4 linked regions of the Alligator mississippiensis genome follow. The protein of the gene in region 4 purifies or fractionates together with the protein of the main gene of each other region. This does not show direct contact. Links are inferred from orthologs where the notes say so. Each region holds a gene or a part of one and is shown on either strand. Other genes may lie near its edges. The genes, in order: ARID4B, MIER2, APPL1 and HDAC2.

What was found.
Region 1: the proteins of HDAC2 (region 4) and ARID4B purify together in Homo sapiens (affinity purification with mass spectrometry; 4 studies listed by BioGRID and IntAct, with this or other methods). This does not show direct contact. The link is inferred for Alligator mississippiensis from reciprocal best matches to the Homo sapiens genes HDAC2 and ARID4B.
Region 2: the proteins of HDAC2 (region 4) and MIER2 purify together in Homo sapiens (affinity purification with mass spectrometry; 3 studies listed by BioGRID and IntAct, counting the BioPlex papers as one, with this or other methods). This does not show direct contact. The link is inferred for Alligator mississippiensis from reciprocal best matches to the Homo sapiens genes HDAC2 and MIER2.
Region 3: the proteins of HDAC2 (region 4) and APPL1 purify together in Homo sapiens (co-immunoprecipitation; 3 studies listed by BioGRID and IntAct, with this or other methods). This does not show direct contact. The link is inferred for Alligator mississippiensis from reciprocal best matches to the Homo sapiens genes HDAC2 and APPL1.

What each region holds. Positions count from the first base shown.
Region 1 is NC_081824.1:153,085,640-153,093,418, reverse strand, and holds the start of ARID4B (AT-rich interactive domain-containing protein 4B), read left to right. Parts: upstream 1-4,763; 5' UTR 4,764-4,938; intron 4,939-5,264; 5' UTR 5,265-5,312; coding exon 5,313-5,318; intron 5,319-7,779. Other genes in the region: GGPS1 (geranylgeranyl pyrophosphate synthase), read right to left, coding at 1,888-1,990, 4,288-4,413. UniProt on the Homo sapiens protein: Acts as a transcriptional repressor. May function in the assembly and/or enzymatic activity of the Sin3A corepressor complex or in mediating interactions between the complex and other regulatory complexes.
Region 2 is NC_081839.1:3,693,413-3,701,305, reverse strand, and holds the start of MIER2 (mesoderm induction early response protein 2), read right to left. Parts: upstream 3,004-7,893; 5' UTR 1-3,003. Other genes in the region: SPMAP2 (testicular haploid expressed gene protein), read right to left, coding at 7,371-7,612. UniProt on the Homo sapiens protein: Transcriptional repressor.
Region 3 is NC_081835.1:21,255,442-21,262,613, forward strand, and holds the start of APPL1 (DCC-interacting protein 13-alpha), read right to left. Parts: upstream 3,004-7,172; 5' UTR 2,881-3,003; coding exon 2,827-2,880; intron 1-2,826. UniProt on the Homo sapiens protein: Multifunctional adapter protein that binds to various membrane receptors, nuclear factors and signaling proteins to regulate many processes, such as cell proliferation, immune response, endosomal trafficking and cell metabolism.
Region 4 is NC_081824.1:99,432,505-99,440,413, reverse strand, and holds the start of HDAC2 (histone deacetylase 2), read left to right. Parts: upstream 1-4,907; 5' UTR 4,908-4,935; coding exon 4,936-4,990; intron 4,991-7,909. UniProt on the Homo sapiens protein: Histone deacetylase that catalyzes the deacetylation of lysine residues on the N-terminal part of the core histones (H2A, H2B, H3 and H4).

The sequences.
Region 1 (7,779 bases), about 54 Mb from region 4:
GTTTGACTTTGGGTTTTTATCATGGAAAAAAAAATCAGAGCCAACTGTGCCTCTTTCGCTCACCAGGACGCAGGTCCAGGCCCTTTACTCCCCAGCCATAGCCTCCCCCCTGCCCTGCCGGCACCCCTCACCCCCCAGCCACAGCCCCCCTATCCCCCAGCTGCTAGGTCTACAGGGCCAGGGACCCAAGTCCCCGCAGCAATGCCTGAGCCCCAGCTGCCACCTGCAGAAATCAGCAGCTGCTATGGCAGAACAGAGTGTGGAGCCCAGGTTCCTCCTCCTCTGTGAGCGGCACAGCTGGAACAGAGCCCATGGGGGGGGGGGGGGGGGGGGAGTGTGGATTGCCCTCTGCAGGCTCAGGGCCTGCCCTGCTGCCCCCCCAACCCCGGGCCTCCATGATCCAGTGGAAACCCAGCAGGATAGAGCAAGCCAGGCAGGGAAGCTTGCTGCTGCAAGCTCTGCACCACTGTGGCGAGGCCCCTCCTGCCCACCCAGCAGCAGAGAGGGTCACAGTTCCATGCCACTGCCCCCACTGCTGCTGAGTAGGCAGGGGGGGCTCTGCCAGGGTGGTGTGGGGCCTTCAGCAGTAAGGAGCTTCCCCACCCAGCCCTGCTCTACCCTGCTGCACTGCGTCCCACCTGCTGGGCTGGAGGCCCCCAGGCACAGGGCAGCAGGATGGGCAGCTCGCACCCACTCCTTCACATACACAGATCTGGGGGCCTGTGTCCCGCATGTCCTTCCCGGGTGTGCATGTAGTGGTGGGGAGTCAGTCAGCCCTACAGTCAGACGAGCCACCCAGGGTTCTGTCCTGCTCCCTGCCCGGGCCCTGTAGCTGTGCATTCGGGCCCCAGGCCTCAAGCCCCACACACTGCCCAGCTGGGCAGTAGCTCCAGCCCCGGTCCTGCCCAACTCCCTCCCTATGGGGGCCTCAATTCCTGCCCCACCTCCACAGACTTTACCTTCCTGAGCTGCTTTCCAGGCTGCCTGGTGACCATGCGCGTGTGTGAGTGTGCACATGGCGCCCCGTGCCTGCCCTACTCCTGTTCCTTCCAGCCCCTTACAGGCCACAACTTTGCTAGCCTGCAGCAAGCACTTTTCAAAAAAAGTGGAAAATCTGCATTTTTTTCCATTTTTACATGGCAGATGGAAAACCCAATCCCTAGTGATTAGTCACCATTGTGTTTGTCCGCATTTTCTTGTTTTATACTGTTCTGCACAGTGCCAAACCCACCAGAACTCCTTACCTGTATAAACAAAGCTATGTACAATGGTATTTATTTGTGCTGTTTTCCCCCCAGAGATTGGCTTTATTCTACATGAACTATTACCATATTTCAGAGGAATACTTCCTATGAATATGCTATCACCTGGCCTGAAGCCGACACACAAGCCTTGGCTGACCCTCTGGAAATATTCGGTGAGCTAGGTACAGTTGAATTTGACCACAAAAAATATTCTTGTGCATGACTAAGCAACTCTAGTTGAAGAGAGCAATAGAGAGATCAAAAGTTCCAGCAGAAGATACAGGTCAAGCTCTGAACAGACTATTTCTGTTCAAGAGCTAGACCAGGTCTTCAGTGCTTGCACTTCCTTTCACCAGAGATGTAGTAGATAGCAATAGTCTCTTTTGAATGCAGTATTGAGGGAGAGGAAGAACATTTGCATTAAGTGGACAGATCAGAAAAACAAGGTACCAGCCCAAGAAATGCTATGCACAGTAAGGTTATGACACAGAAAATGCCGTGGCTTTCAATTAAAGAAAATCTACTCAGAACTCAATGCAACTCGAGACTGGATAGACATGTAAAATTATGTGAATTGATATGCATTTAAGTCTATGATAACAAATTTGTTAAATAGAACAGAACAGCAACAAAAAAGACTTGCCTGGTAGTTGAAGTAAGTACTTGTAAGGCTCTAAAAGAAGTCTTTTAGATGTTTGTTCCGCCTGCTCCATTTCGGTGTTAAAAAAGAAAAACAGTGCTTCACCCTGTTAAAAGGTTAAGAGTTATTGTTACAAATTCAGATTAGAGAAATTAAAGAGAGAGACAAAAAAAAAAAAAAAAAAATCAAAGTGAGAGTCAAATCATTAGCACCTGTTTAGAAAGAAGGAGAAAAAATAAGCAGGCTTCAGATACTCAGACCACATGTAAATGTTCCTTTAAAGGCAGCATTTTCAATTATCACCAGCTTTGCAATACAAAAGACTAATGGCTTTGGCATTATTAATAAAGACATAAGGAAGTCTCAAACTTTTAAAAACTGAAACCTACTTTTGAAAAGTCAAAGTTATTTTAAATTAAGGCTTATTTTTTGAGTCTACTTTAGCTTCTGTGACTTTGAAGTACCAACATTATAAATATCTCAGATAACATTAAAAGACAGCAACATGTGTGTCAAGCACCTATTTTTCATCTGGGAATTTTTTCCTGAAGTTTTTCTACTGGACAAAAGATCAGTGTCCCTTCCCACCCCCTCCTTTTTAAGAGACATTTTTTAAATAAAAAGGGAAATTATAGGGGCTTCTTGAGCTTTTTGCTTCAGTTTTTATTCTTTTCCATTTCTCTCTTTGTGCCATGTCCTGTCCTTTTAGGTTTAGCAATTTTGCTTTTTTCCCCCCTTTCTCTTCTATATCATACTCTTGGATGCGTGTGTCAGGTTCTCTTGCTGTCATTTCAGACTCAGCTTCCCTGGATAGTTCATTCTAGGACTTGTTTCCCTCAGTTCATGCCCTCCTCTCCATTTCCAGGCTGTAAGCATTTCTGTGATTTTCAGACTCCTTTCTAGAATTCATTTTCCCTCTTCTTACCTCTAACCTTTGTTGCTGCACTGCAGATAGAGCAGGTCAAAACTCACCACTTGCTTCTGTCATGGCAAGACTGGACCTGCAGTGGTGGCACGAAGTTCCGTGCCACTCCAACAGCAGTTCTTACCTGCTGGCAAGCACCTTGCAAGAAGCCATTTCCTCTGCCCTAGTAAATGCTGTCTAGTTGCTACCTTACCAGTAAAGCAGGATTATTTCTAGAGTACATTAAGAAACATCAGTACCATATATGTTTTGAGAACAGGCACATCCAGGAGACCAGTTAAAAGAAGTCTACATTGTAGAGTAGATTTAAATTCATCTTTAAGTGATTTGATAATTGAAAACTGTTTATTGCAACTGTTATTAAACTACTGTAAGTTAATATTAAAACAAGCATTAAACAACTGGAAGTTAGTTAATATCAAAAGTAGTGTTAACTCCTTAAAACCCTCCCCGCAAAAAACACAACACAAAACATATGACAGCAAGTGGGAATGGGGGAGAGAGAGAAAGAGAGAGCGTGACACCAGGGCTTGGCAAGGTTTTCCAGGCACAAAGGAGGTCTCATGCTTAGGCTAAGCTGTGGAAGAGCACGGGAGAAGTGCCTGCCTGTCCAGTTACATATAACACAGGCAATGTCAGGAGTGCCAAAGCCCCCACTCTGCAGAATGGATCCAGTAGTTGGCGACTTGCAGGCCATGGACTGCCGAACCTGGGTGCATACGGTCTTGCGCTGCCAAAATGGAATTTCGTGGGACTTTGAGAAATAAGGTACCGATCAAAGACAAGGAAGGCTACCGCAATCTCCCCCCAAAATAAGGATACAAATAGATTTAAAAAAAATAAAGTCAGAACAAAGATAACATTGGAAAAGGGACCACCGTGCTGGGACACCCTTTCGCAGCCGTTAGGCCACCTGAACCCCACAAAGAGGGCAAGCTAACGCAAGTGAAACCGGGAGGTTTCACCTGGTGGTTCAGAGCCCGAGAAGCCCCCTGACAACATCCCCCTCTAGAAGTAGGTGCCTCTTCCTTCTCGGGGCCAAGTTGGCAAGCGCTCCCCACAGCAAGCGACACCACAAGGCTGCCAGTCCTTACTCAAGGAGGGGGGATGGGGGGGTGGGTTGAAGGGCGCTCCAGCTTGCTAGCATTTGGCAAAGAGGTCTGGCCAGAGCTCCGGCCAGAGCTCCATAAACATTTCCCCAGCCTGGCCCCATTGCCACCCCCCTTTCCCCAGCCTGGCCCCTCACTCCCAACCCGCCACCCCCACGATGGGGATCCGCTGATGCTGGAACTCCACTGGGGGTCACGACCCAGTTTGGGAACTGCTGCTTGACGGCGACGCGGGCCTGACGAGTGAGATAGCAGGGGCGGGAGAGCCGCCATCTATGTCCCAGCCGGCCACCAGGCACCAACCAACACCTACCGCGCGCCCGGCCACTCCGTGCAGAACGAGACTAGCCCCCAAGTACCGCCCCGCACCCGGCGCCGCCGGACTTCAACGCGAGGAGAGGTGCCGAACCCCGGCTCCGCGGGGGGCGGAGGAGTAGGGAAGGGAAACCAGGCTCCACCCCCTTCCGCCTTCACCGCAGCAGCTGCCGCCACCATCGCCCGTTGGGGGAAAATGCGCCACCAGAGCCGCAGCGCGCAGGCGCAGGCGCGGGGCCCGCCCCCACTCCGAGCGGCGGGGCCTCGCGCGGTGCACCCTGGGCGGTGTAGTCCGTCCGCCCCGGCCCCGGCGCTCGGAGCGGCGGGGGAAGAACCGCAGCTCCCGCGAGCCTCCGCGGCACCGAGTCGGTGTTTCCATAGAACTGGGGGAAAACTGACGTCAACCTTTCCGAAGCGGCGACCAATGGCGGCGGAGGGGAGGCGGGCCCTGGCGGAGCGCGGGCCAATTGGCGGGGCGAGAGGGCGGGGCCCGCTCCGCCCGTCAGGCAGGCAGTTGGGGAGAGGGGGGAGGGGCGCTCGAGGCTTGCAGCGGAGCGTCGCGGAGTAGGCAGCGTCGTTGCGTCCGGCCGGGAGCATCGGCCCGTGTGTCGCAGAGAGCCAGCGGGGCCGGAGCCTAGGGGCGGCTGCGCTCCCTGTGCTTCCGCCCGGGCCAGGGGAGCTGCGGGCGGCCGGCGCCGAACAAAGGTAACCGGGGGGCCGGGAGCGGCCGGGGGTGGGGGAGGGGCGGGGGTTGTTTTTCTTCTCATCACCGGACTGCGGCGGGAGTTGTCCCCCCTCCCCTTTCCCGCTGCCCCTTGCGGGGAGCAATGCTGGGGCCGCCCCCCGTGCCCGGCGGGGGAGCGGGGCTCGGCTCGGCGGCGGCGGGTTGTTGTTGTGGCAAGTTTCTCCTCTGACAGAAATGGCGTCAGCGGGCAAGGGGGGCGCCGGGCGCGCGGGTGGGCCCCCTCCCCGCGCAGCAGCTGCCCGGTGCGGTGTGGCGGCGGCTTGAGCGCTTTTGTTTTGCGTTGCAGGTCCGACCTGGGCCGCGCTCGGGGGTTTTACCGCAGCCTGAGCTCATCATGAAGGTAACGCGGGGGCCGGGGGGAGGTGGGGGAGGCGGCATCCGCGTCCCCTGGTGTCCGCCCGGGCCGGGGACAATGCGGGTCCTGGCGGGAGGGGAGCGAGGACATGGCGGCCTGGGTTGCGCTGCGGAGGGAGGCGGTGGCGGCCGCAGCATCGCAGGCCCCGCTGTGGGGGGGGGCGGTGGATGAATGCCCCGCGTCCCGCTGTATGAGCCGCCCCGATTGGGGGCGGGGGGCGCGGGATACTCCGCAGTGGGGCCGGGCTGGGAGGCGCAGCAGCCGGATCATTTTTCAGGCAGCTTTTTTAGTTTCCTTTTCAGACCATTTGCCAGGCACTTTTTCTCCTTCTCCTGGCATTTGTTAGACCCTCGGTCCTCAGGCTGGCCAGGCTTCAAGGGCTGCTTAACCTCTGTCCGGATCTGGTTTTTGGTAATGAATCTGGCTTCTGAGTCCTAGTTTAACAAGTGCGATTTAGCAGGGTTTCCCCTTCTTCCTCCCCTGAGCCTCGGTGATGGCAGGGCCTCCTTTGAAAGGCTGTTATTGGCCTTGCTGTGTGGCTTAGAACATGCAATCAGGATCATGCCCCTATTGTGCTGCAATGGATCTGGCTTCCCAGCTTTCTAAAAAGCTGTCGAACGCACTTGCTGCATAACTGCAGGAAAAAGAGCCGTGGCAGACCGCTTGGCATTCACGCGCAACATATCAGCTTTGTTATTCAGCCCTGAGCGCAGTCGCCTGCTTCTAAAGAGTCATGTCCTTTCTGGGTTCTGGACAGCTCTTGTCTGTGCAGAAGCAAAATGAGTGCGGTGACATTGTGTTTGTGAAGTGCTGGAAATGGTAGACGGCATATACAGCTTCAATAACTAGGTTTAGTTAGTGATGCTAAGCACAGCAGTTAGTCTTGTCTGATTAGTTAAAGGTTCAGCACATTTCTCCTGGTGACTAATGAAAAAAGAACCTTCAAATGTACACTTGGAACTGTGCTTTCCTATGTTGTTTGGGTTTTTTTTGTGTGTGTATATTTTTTTTAACTAAGCTGAACTGATAAGTTCTGAGGTCTTGCACCAAAATGCTTATTGGATAAATTGGTTGCTTTAAGTAAGAAAAGCAATAGTCAGACTTCTGCAGTGTGATATGCAAGTTCCCAAACTGTGGTCTGTGGAGTGTTGGATCAGAACACAATGCTTGTTCGAATTGGGTTACTGAAATGGATTGAGACAAATGGAGAATTAAATTTAGAGCAGGAGGAGACAATATAGTGAGGTCTTTTTCTCAGAAGAAAAATAATTTATTTTAAAGATAGCTATATATACACACCTACTTTTTTAATGTTACTTTTTCCACATAAATGCTGCAGTTACCTTAGAGATTGGTGCTCAGATAGAGTGGTTATTGGAGTCATGTAAATGTGTAGATCTGCAATTGCTGGAGTTAAGGAAATCTAATTCTGAGTTGGAGGGTAAAGTGTGCTCTATAGTAGAGTGAGAAACCTCTCTTCTACCTCAGCTGAATACAGAGCAGATTATTACAACTTAAATATCTCTCTGTTTTATACATCCATAAAGTCTGTTTATAGATCCATATTTTTTTTTAAAACCTGCATGTTTCCTTACCCTTTAGTAAGATTTATACTACTATTGTTAAAGGAGGTTTCATTTTTTTTTTATCAAGATGGATGCTGCTAATGTTATTGAATACTGAATTTGACTCATTTGAAAATACACTCTGATTTGTTTCTGCTGATTCCTAAACTTCTAGATGTTTGGGATGAACAAAAAAACGGAGCCTAGTTTCTCTGGAAAATTTAAATTCAGACTTAAATTTGTGATTTAATCTGGGAGCTGCTAGTTGCACTGAAATTTTTTACATTTCCAGCATGAAAATGTTAAAAGCTTAAATCTTAAAAAGGATTTAAGATTTTACATCATCCACTGAATGATGCAAAATTATAAACAGCCATACAAGACACAGCTTTTAAGTTTGTAAGATTGCAGTGGGAGGGAAGTAAAAGAAGAGAATTTTCAGGTAAACAATTTTGTCTGTCTGCCCATTTCACTGTAACTGGATGGCTGATAAAAGAGAAGATATGACTTTTACATGACTTTTTTTTGTTTGTAAACAACCAGAAGTGTGTGATTCTGGGCACCTTATTATTTAAAGTATCAAGCACCAAGAGCTTATAATGAGTCCTATAATGTGGTACCTATTGCAGGGCTGGGGGCTTAAGTTGTCATTTTATACCTTAGTAGTTCTTCCTTTGGGTGCAGGGATAGTGTGTTGTACCGATTGGTGGATTAGAGGGAGGATGTGAGGTGTTCCAGGTTTTGTTCTGAGCTGTGCCATTGATTATTTATGTGACTCTTTTGAACATGTCCATTACATTTGCTGTACCTCGTTTTTCTCATCTGTGAAAAGAAGAAGGTTGGATTTTTACACTTCTGTGTAAAGGACTCTGAGAACTATG
Region 2 (7,893 bases), on a different chromosome or scaffold from region 4:
TGCAGCGGCGGCTCCAAAAGTGGCAGCGTTCTCTTTTAATTAGCACATATTAAGACCCGGATCTTTTGAAGAACCGAGCTGCGCTGACTCCTCGTCACAGAATGGGACTTACCACCATCCAGTAACTCATGCCAGAGTAAGATAAGAAAGTAAAGGTTAAAAATCAAAAGGAGACAAAAATCCCACCATGGATAAAGCAAAATGGATGTTCGCAGTCTCACGGGACTTTCTGACCAGGACTCGGACTCCTGCCTTCGAACAACAGTCTTAAAAACGTGCCTGCCAGGTTCCCCGAAGACTGCAGAAATAAAAATCACTGTTATTTTTACGACTGATGGCCTAGGCTACAGCAGGAGGTACCGACATACGAGTTTGAAGCATCCTTGGGTTTCTTTCCTTCATCTATGAGGAACAGCGACAACAAAAAAATGTCTGGAGTCTCCAGTGGAGCAGGCAAGGTGTATTGCAATTCGCCATCCCCCAGTGTCTGATTATAAAGCAACGATGCAGCCCCACTAGAGACCACGCTGTCGGCTTGTGGAGCCAGCCCAGAAGCTGCATGTGCTAGAAAGGAGGGGTTTATGGCAGGATAAAAGAAGAAAAGAGATGGCAAGGCTTAGGAGAGGCTTTATTTTGGAGTCATACCTAGATTTTAGCATACAATCACAGAAAATGAGGGTTGAAGGGACATCGGGAGGTCACATCTGGTCCAACCCCCTGCTCCAAGCAGGACCAGCCCCAACTAGACTATCCCAGCCAAGGCTTTGTCTAGCTGGGTCTTCAAAACCTCCAAGGATGGAGAGTCCACCACCTCTCTAGGTACCCCGTTTCAGTGCTTTAGCACGGAGGAGATGGCTTATACCCAAGAGAAGAGGAACTGTCCCTTCGTTGGGGACCAACGGGATGCAACAAAGTATAAAAATACTCTATAAATCAAGGTCTGCGGAGTAAGCAGCCCTGGCTGCATGAGGACGGCAGGGTCCAACCTCACGTTCTGCAGCCGCGAGCGACTTGCCCGATCTGTCTCCCGTTCCCTGAGGCAACAACTTGCCCGTGGACTGTACCTCCCTCACTGCGCTGTTGGGAGGCCAGCAAGGAAACGTGTCCAACACGACTCAAAGAGGAAGGCTGCTGTTGTAACTAAGGACTGAGTATAATCGTCAGGTGTGGACAAATTGATTGGGAAACATGTCAGTGAAGACCATGCAGTGAAATAAAGAGTAAAATGAGCTTATATTAATGATGCAAACCCATCATGGACACCTTCAGATCAGCGAGGATGGGGAAAGACTCAAAACTGAGAAGCAGCATGACATCAAGGGGAAAGGGAAGCTGGCCCAGGTTGAAAATCACCATGAAGACGGCAGCGATGAAGACCAATCTAAAGGTGACGGCATATTTGGACAGAGAAGGGACCAGAAGGACCAGGCAGAGCCAGCAACCTGCTCTCAGACCTCCGCTTCGACCATGTTGCACGTGAAGCACCACGATGACACATCCCATACATTAATGGGTGGCCGTGGTGAGGCCAAGCCAGGCAGGGCAAAGCGACGGGCTAGGAAGCGAGACCAGGCTGCAACGGCTCCAGAAGGGAAGAAATGTTGCGGACTGCAGTCGTCGCCATCCAACGGAAGATGATTTCTCTTGAAGGCGAAAGCTGTGGTCCGACACTTAAAATTGTACCGTCAGCTTGGCAGAAGGAAGCCAACAGCATGGCCCCGAGGTATGAAAGGCCACCTCCAGATCAAGGATGGCGTTTATCCCAGATGCAGCTGCTCCTGCCCCTGGCCACGCTGTATGCTCCGACTGCCTGCCCGACTCACAGCGGTCGTGTTGGGTTTTGAAAGCCCCCCCCGTGATGATGCTGAAAGCCGCTCTCTTGCCCACCAACCTGGCTGGCATCCGAGCCGCTTCCGACTTGCCCCAAATCGCCGCTTCTTCGGCAGAATCGAGGAACGCAACCGCCGACTAATTAATCGCTTACGCTTTTGTGTTTGCCATCTTAACAAGACTCAGGGGTCCCTGTCCCTGATTGCAAGGTCGAAAATTTTCAGGGACTCTGTTAAAAGACACAGCGACCACGGGGCTGTTTTCAAGCGGAAGGGGATTATGTGTCTGTCCAGAGCACCGGCAGAGATAACACCTCCGGCGGCCGCTACCCTGGCAGGGAAGTAGGGGAGAGCGACGGAGAGGGACGAAGAGAGGTTTCCCTTCCCATTTATTCCTCTAATCACTGTGATGATTTCTCAGGACACTTCCAGGCAGCTCATGGCTGCGCAAAGGGTCTCTCTCAACGCCGGCACATTGCAGAAGCGCTCCTCCTTGCTCCATCGCCTTGTCCACATTCCTGAAAGTTTGGGGGAAAAGAGGGCTGGTATTCCCCACGTGTCGACCAGGATCTGCGGCCCGGGCAAAGAAAGCGAGTATACGAAGCTCACTCGCTCGGTAACGTCCGCCTGGCAACTTTTGAGCACCGAGCTCATCAAAACGAACGAGGCAAAAGACCCTCTGACCCATCTTGGGCCGCGCAGCTGCGACGGGTTCACCGCGAAGTCCGGTTAGCAGGATGTCAAACGGTCCCCGGCGCCTCCTGCGCGCCTCATCACTGTACGCACACGGCTGCTGGGGGAGAGGGACGTCTCGACGCCTCGCGCTCGGAGGAACTCCTTGACGCTGCTGCGACGAAGTCCCGGGCCGACGTTTCAGCTCAGCTACGGGCGCAGCGTCCCCGCGGCTTTACCGGGGCCGGTGCGAAGGCCGAGCCGCGGTGGGAACCGGCTGCCGCTTGTTGCGGCGAATGATGTCTCGCGGCGGTGGAGACGACGGCCGGGACTGCGGCGCTCGTTTCCCCAAGCCCACGGCACAGCGAGGGTCTCACCGTGGACACGTCCCGCCATGTCCCCCGCCTGGCACCGCCGGCCGGACCCCGGGGGCTGGCGGGGGGACGGGCGGAGCGCGCCCCGCCGCGCAAGCGGGACGTCTCCTCGGCCGGACGGGGCAAAGCGGCGGCCGTGCGATGCCGGGGACCCAGCCCCCAACGCCCCCTTCCTGCCCCCCCCCCCACATCCTGCTGCCCTCGGAGACCCGTGCCCCCCCCCCCCCCCCAAAGACCCCACACCCCGGTTCCCTCCAGCCCCTGCTGCCCCCTCAGGAGACCCCAGCCCCTGCTGCCCCCTCAGGAGACCCCAGCCCCTGCTGCCCCCCAACCAATGCCCCCCTCCCCCGAGACCCCAGCCCCCCAACCAATGCTGCCCCCCCTCCCCCGAGACCCCAGCCCCTGTTTGCCCCCAACCAATGCTGCCCCCCCCGGGAGCCCCCGGCCCCTGCTCGCCGCCCCCCCAGGCAGAGGCCGGGGCAGGCCCGGCCCGGCCCCCCCCAGCACTCACCTCCGCCATGGCCGAGTGTGAGCGAGCGGGGCCGGGGGGGGGGGGCGGGAGCCCCGGATGCGGCGCGGGCCGCTCATTGGCTGCGGCGCCGGGAGGAGGGGCGGGGCCGGGGGCTGGGGGGGCTTGAGGGGGAGGGGGCTTGGGGTGTCTGGGGGTGGGGGCAGGGGAGGGGCGCCTGGGATGGGGGGCAGGGGGTTTGGGGGGCGCAAAGGAATGGGGTGCCTGGGGGTGGGGGGCTTGGGGGGCAGGGGAGGGGGTTAGGGGTGCTGAGGAGTTCTGCAGGAATGGGGAAGGGGTGGGGGGCTTGGGGGGGCAGGGAAAGGGTGGGGGGTTTGGGGGTGCCAGGGGGTGTGCGGGAATGGGGAAGGGTGGGGGGGCTGGTGGGGCAGCGAAAGGGTGGGGGGTGCCGGGGGTCTGTGGGAATAGGGGAGGTGGAAGAGGAGGGGGTTTGGGGGTGCCAGGGGGTCTGCGGGAATGGGGAAGGGGTGGGGGGCTTATGGGGTGAGGGGGCAGGGAAGGGGAGGGGGTGCCTGGGGGTGTGCAGGAATGGGGAAGGGGGGGCTTGCGAGGACAAGGCAGGGGTCTGCAGTGGGGGGGGGTCCGGCTGAGGGGCAGGGGGCAGGTCTGGGAGGGATGGGGACGGGGGGGCAGGTTGAAGGGGCAGTTTGCAGGTCCGGGGGCAGGGAATGACCCATGGCCAGGGGTCCAGGCAAGCCGGAGGCGGCGGTGGGTGGCAGCCCTTCCTGCACGCTCGAGTTGGTGAGCAGAGAGGGGTCGTTAGCCCTGCCAGTATGAAGGCAAGGCAGAGATGCACCTTACAGACTAACTAAATCAGAGGCGTATCAGCTTTGGCAGCCCTGCGCTGACTTAGGCACCTCTGATTTAGTCTATAAGGTGCATCCGTGCCCGGTCTTCTGCCCCAGGTGAATGCGCTTGGCCGGGGGGAAACGTAACAGCCTGGGTTAAACTGGGCGTCGGACGCCTGCGCTGCTGGTTCCTTGAGCTTTATGAATCTCTGAGCCCGACTCCACGAACGACAAGTCGTCCATACAGGAGGGAAGGGCCATCACGTAGGCATGAAGGGACAGCTTGCAAGGGCTGAAGCTTTGGGGTAGAGAAGAGCCAACTGGATAGCTGGCGGGAACCTGGGCCCAGCTTACGGCATCGAGGGTTTATGGCAGAGGGGCAAGTTCATACAAAATGAGAGGTCTGAGCAGATCCTCGGGTGCCGTCTGTTGGCCCAGCTGCACCTAGATTGCAAGAGAGACGCTCGGCTGGTGCAAATCATTTCTGGCTGGAAAGGCCTGAACAACATCATCTGAATTTGAGGCCTATTCTTGCAAAATGCCCCTTCATGGATTGCAAAGAGAAACCGGGAGCTCTCAGCACGTCACGGGATAGTGCCACGCTTAGGAGATGTCATTCGTGTTGTCGGAGCGTGTGCCGGGTTGGAGGCCTCTGAAAATCCCACCTGCTTCACAATGGGGTGGGATTTTCCACTTGCCTTTTGTTCGTGTCACAAGGGAAGTCTGGTGACTTCTGTCCTGTGGAATTGGCCTTTCTGTGGCAGCTAATGGAAGGCCACAGGGAAACCCCCGATTAAGAGCTGAATCTGGCACCGGGTTTGAAAATCTGGATCGTTCTGGGAGCTACAGTCATCCTTTAAGTCTCCAAATTCACCTCTGGTGCAACTCCACCCATTTTGGCCTGTGGACTTGAGTAACATTTGGGCTAATGTTTTTATTCAAACTCTGAAACAAATCTGCCCATCTCATAGCGTCAGCGAGACTATTAAGGGGATAGATAGTAAGGTATTGGGTAATGGGCATGAGAAATATTATTTTTTTAGATATTGCAGCACTCCTGTTCATAGACCCGGAGAGAAAAAAGGGCAGCTTGTCTGCAATTTTTGTGTGCACCTATGCAAGTAAATTCATCCTGATGCGGTGAATGAGGAATTTAGCATTTTGCAGGCATGGTACAGATGTAACTGCGTGTTAGAAGGTGTCACCGCCTCTGCTCAAACTCCGTTTTGACTCAGCACCTCGTACAAGTTAAGGTCTTGTCTGCACAAGAAAGTGCTCCCGTTTAGCTAAGTTAATTTGTAAAGTGGTTTAGTTAAACCGCTCCCACCCTCTTCTGATAGCCACTTATTCTAGGTGAAGAGTCTGACTCGGTCCTATACCTCCCCAGTTTCAGCCCAATCCATACAACCCCCTCTTGAACAGATTGAAGGGGTTGCCACGCAAACAGGTTGTCCTGATTTAACTCAGTTGGTTTCTAAACTGATTTAATGACGTGTAGATGCACCTTTCTCATGGAGGCAAGTAGTAACGTTGTCAAAGGCATCTTCACTGAGAAGCCTGAATCCAGTTTTTTAAAGGTCTGGGGAAATGATTGTGTTTGAGTCCACCAAAAGTTGAGTACAGAGGCTGCAGAGCAGTTCTGGGTGGCAGAAGGGGACGTGCTGGTTGATGGCTTCTTGTGGTGGCCATGCCAGTAACCTGCAAAGGATGTGGTTATAGAAGCTGTTATGTGGATTTTCTACAGCAAAACCCTCCTTGCAATCAGCTCTTGTTTAATCCCACCTGTCTCCAAGGCTTTTCCTAACCAATGGTCCCTGCAAGGGGACCCTTGTATCCCTCTGTGACTCACCATCGCAGTCAGAGAGCCAATTGTTTCTCCGTGTACAGGGCGCGCTAATGAGGAGCCCGCGCTGCTGGGGAGCAGCAGTGGAGCCGTATTTGGACTCGGAGCTGTATTTCCTACCAGACCTCTCTATTTGATGATGGCTAGTGAAGCGGTTCTGTACAGCTTAATTTCTCCAGAGGGTAGGTCCAGGTTTGCCACTAACAATAAAGATTCAGCCGTTGAGATGCGCTTTATTAGCATTCAGTCATTACGGGAAGATTTCCTACCCCGCGGCCCGGCAATTTGCTTCGCCTTCGTTTTCACTTATGCATTTGAGCTTGGGAAGCAAAGTGCTATCAAGTGTTTCTGAAGTGATGGCGACCGCCCTTGAGCAAGGAACCAGCCCGCTTCAGCAGACCGTTATCCCGTGGCACAGCAGGTCCGTCTGGTCCTACTCGAACGGCTTCGACAGCTCACAGACAGTGTTTATTCGATACAAGAGGAACCCCAACCGTCTTGCTTTCAGACATATTTCTTATATTTCATAAGAAATATTTCTTATATTCTTCTATATCTGCAAGAACTACTACTGTCTCTCCCTCCTGACCACATTATGTGCCTGGGCTTTTATGGCAGCAAAAGCGGGAGGGGTCTGGAATTTGGATCGGGAATACGGCTGGATGAACAAGTCCACCTTTTCCTGTTAGCGATGTACCTGTGAATGGACTGGCTAATTTGTTTGCTATTCCCAATGACTTGACACATGGTTCATACCAATTTATTCAATCATTTCTCCACAGACCTTCACTTTTGTCCCGTGACCGACTGACACGGACACACGCAAAGAGCACGTGAGTGGGCCGCGCATCAGGATGGGCTGCGAGCACACGTATAAGCCCATGTTCACCCATTGACATCTCTTCTTCTCATCCCCGCAAACTCAAATTTACCAGCAAGGGCATGAGGGGTAGCTACGACTAGAGCAAATTCATAATGATTATTCATGTTCATACTTGGTTGCAGCATTTGTCTGATTTTACCCCAGCATACGGCTGCTCAGAGATATGCATGTTTTGCTGACTCCGAAGCAATGCTTATGACAGTTTTAATGACAGCAATGGCAATCGTTGGCCCATCTCTTGCTCATAGGAGGAGAGGATGGGAAGCTTTTCAACAGACTGACCCAGTCTGCCGGTCTGCCATCAGGATCATCGTCTACCCTCCTATCCTTCAACCAAACCCCAGCCACACTAATGGGTTCCACGCAGACGACCCAGCCACAGGTCACAGATCTACATTAAAGAACATTTAATTTGCAAGCAACAGCATTTGCAGAGAACAGCACGTGATGATTTAGAGATGCTTCGTTCTCAGCCTCCGAGGAGTACTAAGCTCCAAAAGCCGGGGACTGGCTTGTGCGTGCTGGGCAGCGCCGGACACCTTGTAAGGGTTGTAGCCCTCGAAGACATGTTTTCGGACTCTTGGGTGGGCAAGCTTAGAGACCCTTGCAGATGCCATGGCATTCTTGGCTCCTGCAGACACAGGCCATGGGACTAGCTTTTCGTGGCGGTAGCTTGGATGTTCCATTTTTGGCTCTACAAGGAACAAATCATGGGGTAGAGAAAGAAACGGCTTGTTAAAAGGACTCTGAGATTCAGTATTGCGAAAGGTCCCAAGGCTTGCTTTCTTCCATGGGAATATATTTTTGGGTAGGATCTCACAGCTCTCAATCATTACACTTCGCAATGCCCTGGAGAGATGGGTATTTGGGAGAAACAAGCACGGGGAAGGTGAAACATCTTGCTAGGATTCGACTCTAGAATTTGATTCTAGTATTCAGGTCTTCCGACCCCCACACCGGTGCTGGGTTCTCCCC
Region 3 (7,172 bases), on a different chromosome or scaffold from region 4:
TGTAAAGGAACTGTGTATGCATGTTTCATGCTAATACCCAATACACAACCTTTAACAAGACAGCATACTCAAATGTGAGCAAGTAATAAGGAAAAAGCTATTGTAGCACTCATGTACAGCTTGAAAAATGAATCAGGTTGTAAGATGTTTCAGTCTATAAATAACAGCTAGAATTTATAGTTATAAGGCTGAAGAGAAAATATTACGACTTGATCGCACTTTGCTCATTATGAGACTGTTATTATGAAAGCAAAGGAGGTAAAAACTTAAATGTATTGAGAGTCTGATTTCCTTTCCAATCACAGACAAAACAAAATGAGATTATACAGAAATAATAACTACTAAATAAAACTGTGTTCAAATTGCAGTACTAATGTTTGTAATGTTTTAGTTTTAAAATGTAAGAGACTACTGCATCTGGCTTTGGATGGAGGTGGGAATTACTCCTTTTTTTTCCTCTTAAACATGAAAAATGTTACTAGATTAAGGTATTTGACTGAACAGGGCCTTTATTCCCAGTCTTTTTGGTTATTCTATAGTCCAACAGTTTTCAAAGGCAGACCATAAGTTTGTGGAGAGCATCAAATAAAGAGCTAATGTTACATGTCTAAACAATCATAACACACAGCATACCATTTTACTAAACTGAGTAACAATCTCATGGTGGTTTTGATATTCTCCATAATACCAATGAGTGGATCCCATCTTGAACGGAAGTTAATGGGTTTTTTCTATCGTGTTGAGAGATGACTAATTCTGCAACTGAATAAAAGGAAAGACTGAAATTTAGAACATCAAATATCACCCTTCAGGCTGATATCTGATGTCCTAAATTAGGAAGGAATTCCCCCCACCTCAGTTTAAGAGAACAAAATGTTTTCCGTCATTTAAAATGAGAGCAGTAACAGACTATGGATTTTCCATCAGAAAGTTATGTACATTAGTATGTGTCTGTTAGGCTGTAAATCATCAGAGATTGCCCACTGCTGAATGAAGAATGCCATTCTTGACATAACAACCGAATAGTAATAGTAGTCATCAAAGTAGTAGTAGTAGTAGTAATAATAATAATAATAATAATAGTGGGAGGAAATAAAAACCTAAATTCTGCTTCACGGTATTGTGTGTTTAATGTTGAAATAATAGAATCAAAATGATAACAGGTTTTTAGAGGTGGGCAGCATCAGAGAATGCATGGAATAAACTTACTAGGAAGATGGCATTTTCTACCCTATCCATACACACAAGTTAGAGTGATGCTAGTATGAAGTCAAGCAGAAGGCAGTCTCTAAGATGCCACTTTGCCTTGCCTTCTGCATATGGGTACAGTTTGGGACTGTCTATGTGTATTAAAATGGTTTGGCAAGCAACAGGTCACCAAGACTTTTAGCACATGCCCAAATAGGAGTTTGGAAGTGGAGACTGCCCAGACCTTCCATCTCCCCTTCAGGCCACAATCCAAAGGCTGGACATATGGTGCCTCCGTGGCTGTAGGTGTAGAAGCACCCAGGAACTGAACCTGGGTCTCCTGCATATCAAGCAAGGACTGTACCACTGAGGACTCCACATTAAAATGAAGCCATAGCTTTCATTCCCTGTATGGAGAACAGTCATAGGACATTTGTTCAACAATACTTTCGAAAATATTCTGCTGTTGAGTAGAATAAGAATATACACGATACATAATAAGAAAACATAAAAGCAGCAAAGAGAAGAAGAGATCAAAGCTAGTCATCTTAGGCTGCAGAGTATTTACAGATCTGTATTTCAAATATGACTTGGGTCTAATCTTAAGCAGTGCACATTAAAACGAAACGTTCTCAGCACGGTGGTGGTCAGCACTCCTCAGTCTTCATTTCTCCTTCTAGCTCCCCCATGAGCAACAGCGTACTGAAGTGCCGTTTAAGCGAAGCTCTAGCGATGGTAGTTCCTTTGAAAACTTCTGCTCCGTAGCCCACACTTCTCTCTGCTTTTGTTCCCAAATAACATAGGGACTCTGTCAGCCTATGTTATCGCTGCACTATATTATGTTATCAGCACAGCATAGTGATGTGCTGATGTCAGTAGTTTACAGATAGGAAAGGAAAAACCCTAAAGAAATTACTTTAAAAAAAAGTCTTGTTTGCCAGCTTTTTAGGTAAGGATTTTAATAGTGGCAGGATCTGGATGGCAACATTCGAGTTCCCTAAGCAACAAGAGCCTCCACGTCCTCCTACAGGGGACACAACAGAGACCAACCCCCCTGGCCCCAAACTAACACCTGCATGCCTGGGCTACCAAGAGCTTGGGACATTTGCTGTATGACACGAAGGTCGAAATAAAATGAGTGGCTGGAGACTGGCAGCTAAAAAAAAAGGGACAAGGTTGGACTTGCCCAAAAGGCAAGTGGTAAGTGGACATGGGCTGGGGGGGGGGACAGGCCCGGCTCAACTCCCATGACAGAGGGAAGCGCTAATGGCAAACACGGCCACCCACCCAAAAAAAGTGAAGCAATGGGTGTGACCGGGCGCCGCCCTCAGCGCCGGGCCGGCCAGTCGGGTCGCTGCCCTGACACGTGCTTGGCAAGCACGAAATCCGCCCTCCCCCCAGGTCAATCTTGGGGAGGGGGCCGACGCCAGGCGAGGAGCCCCCCGGCCCCGCCCGGAGAGCGGCGGCGGCGGCAACGCGCGGCCTCGCAGCAGGTGGCGCCGGGCACCCCCGCTTCCCTTCCCCTCAGCAGCGGGGCCTGCGCGGCCGCCCCTCACCGCACCTGCAGGCCGGGCCGGGCCGCGCTGCACAGCCCCGCCCGACCCCGACCCCGACCCCGGCCCCGCGCTGCCCCCTCACCTGGGGGCTGTCCTCCAGCGTCTCCTCGATGGGCAGCTTGTCGATGCCGGGCATGGCGGCGGCGGGACGGGGCGGGGCGGTGTGTGCGCCCAGGCGGCCGCCGCGGCCCCTCCCCCCGCGGACAGGCTCCTCCCGGCGCCGCCTCCGCGGGGCCACAGCCCCGGGCCCGAGCTCCCGCCGGAAATCCCACCCCCGCCCCAACGTCGCGCAGCGACGTCGAGCAGCTATTGGGTGCTCTATCGACTCGCCTCGCTCCTCGTTGGCTGGCGGAGCCGCCAATCGCGCGGCCCGGGCGGGTGGACGGGGCGGGCCGTGGGCGGGAGTTGGGTCCGCTGCGTGCGCCCCGCGCTGGGTGCTGAGGGGAGGGGGCCGCGCGCTGCCGTGAACCCCTCCCCGCCCGGCGGTGCCCTTCCCTCGGGGTGGCACCGGCCATTAAATACCCCTGTTGCAACATGGACCGTGCTCCGAGGCGTTTGTGCTGACAGCCATCACCCGCCCACGCATGTGGCCCTCGTCCCACAGGCAGCGCCTGGCGGACCCACGGACCTGTTACGCAACTGTCACCCACGCTGCCATTGTGGGCACATCCGCGGGGCTGGTGCCCGCCGCATCCACCTCCCATCTGCACAGCTGCCAGTTCACCAACGTAGCGGTCACCCAGACACCCATCACCTGCACACCTGTGCCCACCACTGTCACCGCCACCCCTTGCACACCTACACAGTGCCCGTGCAATCACACAGCCGTCGCCCAGCAATGCAGCTGTTGGTGTCTCTGCCCTGGTGGCGGTGCCTCTTCGTCCAGGCCTGCATCTTGCCTTCTCTGGGTGCTCCATTGCTGCTGGCTTATGCCCAGACCTCAAAATGGAGTTTGGTGCGTGAGGGTGTGATCAAGTATGCCTTTAGGAGGCCCTCAAAGCAGTGTCGTGGGTAGTCGCCCTTTCTTCTCTGTGCTCCAGGAGCTGCTTGGGAACGTGTTGCCCATCTGCGCCTTGGTAGGAGCTGGGCATGAAACTGCCTCTGGTAGAGCTTCTCCAGTCAAAACATCCATGTCTCCCAGCTGTACCGCAATGTGGTAAGCGCAGTAGTTCTGTACGCTTTGATTTTGGTGGGAGCTGGATCCTTTCCAGTGTGCTGCAATCACACCTTTTGACTGGTATAACTGCATCCACACTAACGGTTGCGTTAGGATTACTATTTTAGATACACCCGCCGCCCCCCCAATTAGCAAAGTTATAGTAAAACAGTAGAACTCAGATTATTCCTATATAGGCGGTTCACATCCAGTTGAAGATGCAGTAAATTGCTGAATTAAGGGTGAAATACTCAGGTCTTTACTGCCTTTTCCTTCAAAGGGCTCTCTTTGATCAGCTGGAGCTCAGTGGTCCTAGGCAGCTGATCAGAGAAGTTATGTCCTGTCTTTGTAATAAAAGCTGCAGCAAACAGCTATGCTTTCCAGCTGCCAGAAAGGCCCCACTAAAGTGCCTGAACTATAGAGATGTCGGGTGAGCTGGGTCCAACCAATGTGCTGCCTTTTCTGGGCATATGCTGGGCTCGGTGCAGGAGCATGCGGATTTTGAAGTAAAGCACCTTTTGGGTTTTTTTTTTTTAAACACCTTCAAGCAGTCCTTATGTCCAGAAAGCTTTAGACAAAAACTCGTTGTTAATGTAAAGTTAGAATGTGGTTTCTTATATGGTCTTTTACATGCATCACCCATTGGATTCTTAGGAAACTCACTCCGTGCATATAACTACTACTTCCTACCCAGCCCCCCATTTCCCTACCCCAGGATGTACATGTTTACCAAACTAAACATCTTTCCTGATCTAATTAAAACCAGGGGAATAGTTGCATCATTTCAGACATAAAGATTACTATTTCAGTATCCTAGCAATACTGGGTGTATCTGCATGGGACACTGACTGCACAGTAGCATATTAATGGTAATATGCTACTGCGCAGTATTATTAGGCTACTACGCAGTAGCATCACTAAGAAGGTGTGTGCTACTGCACATTAATACTGGTTACTGTCTGTTAATTTAGTACCTGATAATACAAGTACTAAACTTAATACATACTAACTATGGTACATTAATGAACATGTAGATGCACCCATTGTCTCTTAATTTCCCTACAGTGAGAAGTGTCCTTCCAGTTAATCACTGCCTTACTAAATATTCTTGGCTAAAATATAGGAATATGTCAACATCACATTTGTATCTTAATACTACAGTTTAGGCAGACATAATGACAGCGCTAAGTACAGCTTGATTTTACATATATGTAGAAGTTACACATGTCCTATCAATAAAACAACCCCAAGAAAATGTGTATGACATCCCACAACCCTGCCCCCCAGCCCCCACCAAGCGTTGTAGGTTCCTGACATCAGGATTCTACATTTAGTCTTAGGTGGTTTTGAACCTTGCTTACATTGTCACCCTCTTGTCAGCTGAGATCAAGTGTAGTCACTGTACTGGTCTGGTACCCAAGCCAAAATGGATTTTAATTGCATTGTGTAGTGGAAGGTGTAGCTCTGTCCAAATGAACTGTGGACAGGACACCCTATGAGTCTTGTAATTAGCTTCCTCTGGCCAGCTTCCAATGGGAGGATCTTGGCTACATGCTTACTTGGGCCTGCACATAGGATGCCTGCCGATGGATTTGGAATTATCTGAAGCCCCAGGCTGAAAAGTCTGGGGTGGAGGATACTTGCTGGTTCCAGTGCCACATACGGTGATTGGACAATTGAGTTTTGCTCAATCAAAAGGATTTGGAACTGATCTGGCTAAATTTGACCTGGAACACGAAAAGTTTTCCAAACCAGAAAAACAAACTGTTGTCACCATGTAGTGATTGCAGACTTGTAAGAAACAGATCATCCCCATTCAGGCTTACATATTTAAATCTTACTGAACTCCATCACCCCAGCATCATTTTCATCAGCATTTGACACCTGTGTTCAAAAACCTTGTTTGCATTCTGCTATGGGAGTTTGCTGCAAACATTTTTTGCTGACAAAGAAATTACAAAAAACAAAAACTTAGGAACTTGGTATATCAAACCATGGTTCTGTGGTTGTAAAGTAAAGTGCTGTTTTGTATATCGCAACAGAATTTGAAATCCCTTTTTTAACTTGTTTTTTACCCAAGTCCTATTAGTCACCTGTTAATGATAACGCTACAAAACATATTTGCCTTATCTACAATATACTTTTTCCCAAAACTTCTATGATTACTATTGTCAGTACAATGGTAGCAACATTTGCATAACTTTGCTATGAAAGCATTTTTCTTGTATTGGCATTACAAGGCTCACCCCTTTCCTAAGATTCCTCCTCTCCATATCTTCTGTTATTTTCTCCAACCACCTTGACTGTTAGGGAGGATGAGTTCCTTCCTACCATAACTTTTTTTCGTACTATACATTATCAAGTTACAAATCAGCTAGTATCCAATTTACCTGTATAAAGAAATACCATTTTAGAAAAGCATTCCTTCTGTTTAGAGGAAGACTAGCATAAACTTTCAAAATAGACCTCCCACCTTCTTATGATGAACCAGATTGCTGCTGGAGATTGGTATACTGGTAGGAACTCCCATAAAACTGTTGTGAAGGGGCATAACAATGCAATGTGCCTATTACAAAATTCCCCATCTCTTAAAGGCTACGTATAGATAGTCAAAAAGCCCAAGGCTGAATCAGTTAATTCTTCACAGGTTAGTTTAAGCTGTTTACACTTAGCTGAAGTGGCTCGGGCCACAGACTGGGGCTGCTAGAGCATGCCTTCCTGCTCAGGTGGAGCAGACAGTTTGGGATAAGACTAGCCTGCCCACTCTGCAAGGAGGGGTTTATGGGGGAGATACAAAGTATCCTGGGATGCTCAGGGACTATAAATTAACTTGAATCTGGAGGAGATTCTAGGACAGAATTTCAATAAACTGATTTAATCCAAATCAGTTAAATCTGATACTACCTCCATCCAGATTTACCTTAAACCATTTTTGGCTATTTTGAAAGCAGTTTATATGCACTGATCTTCTCTTGTGCTGGTTTTTGTGTCATTTCTGTCCCTATCCTAAATGTTTTTGCTTCTATAAATAGAACACCCCGACTCGGATCGATTTTGACTAGAATGATTCCTACAGGTGAAGAGATTTGTTTTTTAATCGTGAATGTTTTAGGAGTTCTATGCCCACCTTATTAAACAAAATATTAATCAAAATTGTAATTCCAGTCAAAATGCAAAAAAAGTATGTGTGTCAAATAAAATAGAGCAGGAATATATATATATGGACCTTTGAAAAGGCCAGCAGTAGCCAGTACTAAAGAAAAGCTGTGTAT
Region 4 (7,909 bases):
CTACCTGACTGGCTCAGGCCAGAGGCTTATATGGCTCAAGCCGGGTCCTCTTCCAGTCAAGTAAGTCCCTAATCAGCCCCTCTCACCACTTGGAAGCTCCCTCGATGCTTTTCCTCTTAAAAGGACTGGCACACCACTCATCCTGTCGGAGTGACTAAAAACTTGGCCAAGTTATTACCTATGCACTAACATCCATGACCAGCCAGTCCATGGTGCTAGCCAGGTTGTTTGCAGCCATGGTACAGGCATGAACATAACCCCAAAGCCCAGTACAAAGTATTAAGGGTTCCCCAGCCCCTTTTTATACACCAGTCAAAACAACTTCACATTTACATCGTACTCATCCTAGCTCTAATTGCTAAACCAGCTTTAGGTGATATTGTCCACATCCTATTTCTTGCCCATCAGCATATGCTTCCTACTACACAGATACATCTGGTTGCCAGGTCTTTCTCCTGTCTTTATTCTGGTGTTCTCTATTGGTTTCCATAGACTCATGGAGGAGCAGGGGTGGCAGGGACCTCCACAGGTCATCTAGTCCAGTGGTTCTCAACCCTTTCTGTACCAGGATCCATTTGTAAATGTTGATGAAGTGTCTTAATCCAGTGCCCCTCACTTCCGACCTGCTGCCCCCACCCCAGGCCCTAGTCCCCCAGTGTGGGGTGGGGGAAGGATGTGAGACATGGGGATCCCAAGCAGCCCCTGGCAGCCTGGAACTCTGCCAGCCTACAAGGGAAAAGCCATGTTTCCCATGTTTTTCTCCTTTAAAGGAGAATCCGTTTCTAAAATTTGTTCATGACCCTTTCATATATTCTTGCAACCTACTTTTGGGTCACAACCCACAGGTTGAAAATGCTGATCTAGTCCAATCCCCTGCTTGAGGCAGGATCAGCCCTATCTAAACCATAACCTAAACTCTACAGAAGCCTACCATCTTCTCAATTCCCTATTGGCCAGGACGATGCCTCTAAAACCAAATAGCTACTTTCCCCACACTTCTGTGCAAGCCCCTTATAGCAATACAGCTTCGTATTCACTGCGGGGGGGACACTACTTTGATTGGTGCAGTTGCATGTGATGTATACGTGTGCTGATCCTTGGTTGTGCTGATCCAGGGGTGTCAAGCTCATCCAGCCCAACAGGCCAGCTGAGTGGCTCGGGGCCCAGTCCAACCAGCCTGTCTCGGAGAGGCCAGAGTGGGTGCCTGCTCCGGAGTCACGGTGCACATGGCAGCTGCTCTGAGACGTGTGCTGGAGCGGGCACCACGAGTGGCACAGCCCTGGAGTGGCAGGAGTGGGCAGCTGCCCCTGGGTCCACGCCGAGACCCACGGGAAGCACCCGAGGGTGGGATGCCAGCACAGTTTGAATTATGGGGGAGGTTGGGGGCTGGGGGGCGTTGAGTGTCTTTGTAAGATTTGAAAATCATAACTTGTAAGCATCTCCAGGTACCATGATGGGCAGCCCAATTTTTGCAGCCCCCCTCCCAGAAGTAGCATTGCCAACTCTTGACTAAAGCTGTTCTGGAAGATTACCCCTCCCCACAATGTGACATAGCATCATTACTTTTATTTTCTGAAAATCTCTCAGATTGCTTTCAACAGTCAAGGAGAGATCAGGCCAATACGGGAGGGTTAGTGACCCTACCCAAGGGTACTTCGTACCCCAGATGTACAGCTGGACCCGGCCCCCGGGCTCTCTTCGAGGCTGCATGGTGGCATGTAGGAAGAACTGAAACGCAGGGCGGTGGGTGGCCGCCCCCGGGAGACACGCTGCGTGGGCCCCCCATCATTGCCAGGGGGAGACGAGGCTCAGGGCCTGGTGGGTCCAGCCTGGCCGCCCCCTTCACCTGCCTCTGCCCGCCCCGTCGCCTCCAGCCGCCCCTGGGAGCAGGGCGGGTAGACCCCCCGCGAGGGGACCAAGGGGGACCCGCTCCGCCCTTCCCCAGCGTGCGCGGGAGGGGGCGGAGCCACGTGCCGTTACCGCCCCTCCCTCCAGCCACGTGACGCAGGCCAGAGGCAATAGAGGGCCTCGCGCCTGCGCTTCAACCCCCCCCCCCATTAGGGAGGGGGTGGGGCAGGGCGCGGGCTGTACCACTGCGTGCCGCCCTGGGGGGGAGGGCAGGGAAGGCGGAGCTCTGCGCCGAGTTCACAAGTGACGGCGGCGCTTCGCTCTTTCCCTGACTCTCTCTCGCGTCCCCCTTTCCCCCCTCTCAAGTCTCCTCATGCGTTAACGGGAGTGGGGGAGTGACAAGGAAACGCCTTTCCACGCATCCCCCCCGGCGGGTGCAGAGTGGGCACTCCCCCTCCCCCCCTCCCGCGTGCCGCGCGCTGGATGGTCGGGTCGCTGCGCTGCCCCCGGCCCCGGTGTCGCCGCTTCCTCCCGCTCCCGCCCGTCCGCGCGCCGACGCTTCCGTCCCCCCTCCTCCTCCTCCTCCCGGCCTCGCGGCGGCAGCCCCATGGCGTACAGTCAGGGCGGCGGCAAGAAGAAAGTCTGCTACTACTACGACGGTGAGCGGGGGGGAGGGAGCTGAGCAGTGCCCCCCCCCCGCCCTGCCCCACATAGGCGCGTCCGGGGGGAGGGGCTCGAGCTGCTGCCGCGCTTCACTGCTTCACGGGGGGGTGAAACCGCGGGTGTCTGTGCGTGTCTGCGTGTACGCGGGGGGTGGGCGTGTGTGCACGTTTGTATGTGAGAGTGCAGGCGTGCTAGTCTGCGTGGGGGGTGAGAGAGTATGTGTCCGTGCGTAGTTGTGTGTGTGCAAGGTGGGCGAGGGAGGGAAAGCATCGTGTGTGTGTGCAAGGGGGGTTGGGTGCCAGTGCATCTAGGCATATTCGTGCATGCGTGTCTCACATCTGTGTGAGAAGGATATGTATTTGTGTGCATGTGTGTAAGGTGTGTTTGCATATGGGTATCTATGTATGTGCCTGCGAGTGCTTGGGGGGGGCGGGTAGGGGGTGAGGTATCCAGGTTGTAGCCGTATTGGTGTAGAAGCAAAAGGAATCAAAACTCATGACAAAGGTGATATCTTTTATTAGACCAACTAGATATTTGCAAAAATGGGTGGGGGGCTGAGAGCACGGGTGTCTGTGCACAGTGTGTTTGTGAAGCGTGTCCGAATGCTTGCACATGTGTATTTCTGTGTGTGTCTCCACCAGCCGGGTTTTCACCTAGCTAACAGCAGCAGCTGGTTTGATTGGCCCTAGCCAATCACTTTTATTTTTCCCTCTCCCCATCAAACCTCCCAGCCCTCTGAAGCTCGTTGTCCTGTATGAAGGACCACATTATCAGGGTTTAACTTTGTCTTTGGCACAGCTAATTAGACTCAACTGCTGTTTTAGGTTCATGTAAAGGAATGAGGTTGTCTTGGTGCAGTGAGCCCCCAGTATCCCACCTTAGACCAGACAACTGATTTTTAGCCCCCGACCACTGCAGGAAGAGGTGCGAGGCAGGCCAGAGGCAGGGACACACTGGCAAGCGCCACCGCCCTCCCTTTAGTTGTATCCTAGATGCCTCAAGACAGAGCCCCAGGGTCTTGGGCTCCCAGAGGCAGGTCCTAGCTAGCCATGGGCTAGACCCCTAGGCAGCCCCAGTCACAAGTGTGTGCTCCGCTCTCTACTTTTACTTGTCTCACTATCCTAGAAACACAGTGCCAAAACCCTTCACATATCCTGCCAAGTAGCATCTGCATCTGCTCCGGGTGAAACGCCAAATGGCCTATGAAACTGGCTGGCAGGAGTGGTACTGGCAGGGTGCATGCTCAGGCCAGGGAGATGGGGGTGTCGGTGTGTTCAGAGAGCAACGCCTCCTGATCCATTTGATCAGCAATGCCAAAGCTATGATCTCAAATTTATATCTAATTTCATGTTTGCATCAGTTCCTCCATCTTTGGTTCAAGCCATAGAAAGAGAGGGGGGGACGTTTCCCTACAGCTAAACTTTTATTGGTCAGATCAGCTGCAAATGATTTGCTTATGTCTAATTTTCCACCAGAAACAATCTCAGAGAAGCTGGGAGTGGCTGTTGGGGATGGGCCACTATTCTGGTGTTTGCAGTAGTGCTGGGGACGTTGAGCCTGCTTTGCGATTCTTATTTTTTAGTCAGCTACTGTTTAGGGTTTTAAGAGCCTTGGCTTTAGCGCAAGGTGATGCCAAATGCGTGCTGGTGTGGCAGATATGTCTGCCGCTATTCAGAAATGGCAGATCTGGTGGGGCCTCTTCAGGGTTTCTAACATGCTAAGTGAGGCTGAGTGGTGGTTGCCGCCCCCTTCTCTTTGTTGCTTGCTCTGGTTCTTTGTTCAGCATAAGGGGGGAAAGAGGCCACTGTTAGGGAGAATTTTGTTGAAGCTAGGGTACGACTTCCCTGGAAAAAGAGTAAATGGTGTTCTATCTTGGCAAAAAGATATTTCAGAAGTGCTCTGTATGCTGTATTTGTATATCTGCAGCTAATTTAATAGAATTGTTTGCAAAATATGTTGGGAAAGCAAAGTTTGCTTGATAAAACTAGGTACCCTTTTGCTAGAGCAGTGGTTCTCAAACCTGTTAGCCTCTGGGCACCCCTCAGGAAATACCAGCTCTTAGCTTTCCCTTGTTTTGGGACAATGGAAAAAATAATAGAGGAATTATTTTTGTTGCAAATAACTCAAGTCCAAATGGTTTGGACGCTTATGGATTCCAGTTTTAAATCTCTGGGTTTATCTTGTGAATTGTGTAGGTGTTTGCATATGTAATAGCGGTGTTATTGCATGGAATCCTTAAAATGATCTCATAGTACCCATGGTTAAGAATTATTATGCTCGAGTGGAATATTTCTGGCATTATAGTAGTGTAACAATTGCAAGCACTGTTGCTTGAATCCCTACATAGTAGATAAACTTATCTTGGTGAGACTTTAAAAAAGTGCTAGAGTAAGGAACAATTTTGCACTGGCAGGATGCTGAACTATGATCCCGTTGATCTTTGCTACTTCTGATTTACATGAAAATACACATTTGCTTGGTGAGTCCATGGACTTTTTTTACGTGGCTGTTTTGTCTTGCTTATTTCATATTTAATTGGCTCTGTATGGTCATCTTTCTCTATGATGATTGCTCTTCCTAAATCTTTCTAAACTATAATGTTTTGAAAGATGCAAGTTGCTAAAAAAACAATTGTTGAAAGATTTTTTTGGTTGATTAACTTGTATGTATAGACAGGAATGAATAGAAGTCATAGGCTAGAGTGAGTATAATTTAAAACTGGACAAATGTGTTCCTTCTATAATTGAGCTGTCTTAGAAAAATTGCTTATTTTGCAGTAGGGAACTGAAAAGTATTAGAACATTTCTAATAGCTGGTTTGTTAGCACCAGATCTAATAAAAGACATAAGTGCCCATAAGCTAGGCCTTTTAAATGTCTGGAAACTTGACTTTTTGGGTGTCTGGAAAGTGGAATCTGAAGTCCAGGATTAAGACCTTAGTCTCTTTTATACAGTATGTAAGGTTAAGGTACCTTGGGAGAGCAAGTGAAAAACCCTGCTGCTGAGTAAGATGCCACTTAGGGTTAGTCTGAATGAAATGCTAAGTTCATACGTGTCTGAATGTGTCTTTCTCTCTGAGTTTAAATTACAACCATGGCTCCAAGGTTGCCTCTGTTTACTCAGGAATCAGAGCTTTGAACATGTTCCTGGATAGGTGCTTATAAAAATTCAAGGAACTGAGGGGAGCTCAAGCTGCTCATGATGTGGCTGATGGAAGTGATGATGATGGTGCTGCTGCCCTGCTGTTACAGAATAGCCGACTTGTTAGGGCATTCACCTAGGAAGTTGGAAACCTGCGTTATGTATCCTTCAGCCCAAGTGGGTCAGACATCTCCTGCTACCTAATGGGCTGCCCTAACTACTAGGCTAGAGGGCTTCTTTTGAAGCTGGGCCATTACACAGAAAGCAATGCAATATTCATAGAGCCAGGAGAGAACGCTAGAGGGAATGTCATTTCATAGCAGTGGGTCTCAACTTTTTTTTTTTGTTAGATTCGAGCAACCTTTCCGTAACTTTTGTTTTAATGTGGTGGCACCTTAGTTGAGAACCACAGTTCTGTTGTGCCTCAGTTTACCTCAGTGGTTCTCAACCAGAGTGCTGATGCCACCATAGCCAGGTGGAGCTTCCTGGTATGCCTTGAGTAGAGCCAGGTCAGGGAGGGCTATGACAGGAATGCACACTCCTGCCTGCACTAGGTTTACCCAATACGTCTAAAGCAGGCAGGAGTGTCTGTCTACTCTTGTCCCAGTACTTCCTGGTCCTCCTTCCCCTGCCACTCCTGCTGGAAACAGGTGGCTAAGATGGTTCCAGCAAGGATCAGACCAGGAAGGGCTATAGCAGGACAAGGCACCTCTGCATAGGTTTATCACATAATCCTAATACAGGTGGGGGCACATGCTTGTGCCGCAGCCCATTCTAATCTGGCCATGCCCAAATCATACAAGGCAGTTCCACTTGGCTGAAGTGGTAGCAGTTCCTCTACCACATCATCCCAGTTGAGAACCTCTGCTCTTATCTCCTAATAGGTTAGGCTGTCACCTGAGAGGAAGGAGTCTTGAGTCCTTGGTCTCAGCATTATTTCTCTCTCTCCTTTAGTCCAGTGACTTTTTTAAGTGACATGTATAAAAAGTCATGGAAGAGAGAGGAGGAGAAGGTAGCATTTCCTTCTGGGCTACCCTACCTCCTAGGGCAGAGTCCTGCTCCCTCTTGTTTGCTTTCCTGATGCAGTGAATTTGGTGATCTTTGCTGCTGAGTGGTTCAGTTTTAATTGGTCATATGAAAGAAGCCCACACCCAGCCTAGTATATATCCTGGTGTTTCGGGCCCTGATCTGGGTGGTGGGAGGTGTGGATTTGAATCCCCTCAGACGTGAGGGCCTGTATCCCTGATCTGCTATTTTCTGTTCTCTTTTAACCTCTCGTTTTTTGTATAATAATTTGGTGATCCTGCCCTCTTTTCTCGTGTTGCCACGTTTTTCATGGAAAGTGAAGGTGGCCATTGTGTTTTGTGCTGAATGCAGTTCTGTTAGTGTTTCTGAACCTGCTTGCTCAAGCTTCTTTGAGGACTTAAATGTCAGTCTGTCTAGTTTTTGAGTCTCAATGAGGCATATAAGACCTAGGTGTCTGGCTGCTCAGGGCAGGGCAGTTTTGGTCACAGAAGCACCATTGCAAGTATCTAGTGAATTTTCTGATCAAAAAAAGGGAGGTAGCCCATGATTTCTGATACCTTCATGGTTAGGTGGCCACTGAGAAGGAGGGTGTTTTTTTTTATTGCAGTTTTTGGACCAGATGCACTGAGTCCTGTTTTGGGTATCCTCACTCCAAAAGGAATTAATCTGGCCTCTAGTATTTATTTGTATAATGCCAAATGACAGCAGTTATTTCAGATTTCCTTCTAAAAGATATTGGTCAAAATTGCTTTCTTAGAAATCAAAGCAGTTCTGTATCTTTTGGCTAGTTAATTTAAATGGCCAAATAATGCATAGATCTTAATAACGTTTTTTAGCCGTAGGGAAAGTTTAACTGTTTTGGGAGGAGAGAGGAGATGCCCAGAAGCTTAAGTAACCAAAAATTAATAGTATAAAAATACCCTAAACTATAGCAGATAAATTAGTAACTATCTCTTGGTGCATGGCATGCAAACACAATTAGTTTTTATTTATGAGAATCTTTTATGGCTGCATGGAAGTTTCTGTATAGAAGTAAACTCTTCTTTTTTTAGTTTTATTTTCTATTTTCACTTTGCTTCCCTGGAAATAAGCAGCAGCAGAGTAAAGAATGTACATCAGAAAATCCACAATAAAAGGGGTGCCTTCATAAGTGCTATAGTTTAATGTGGCGTATTTTGAGTTTTAAGACTAAATCTTAGTTGATATCTACTGGTGTGTCTAAAACTCTTCCT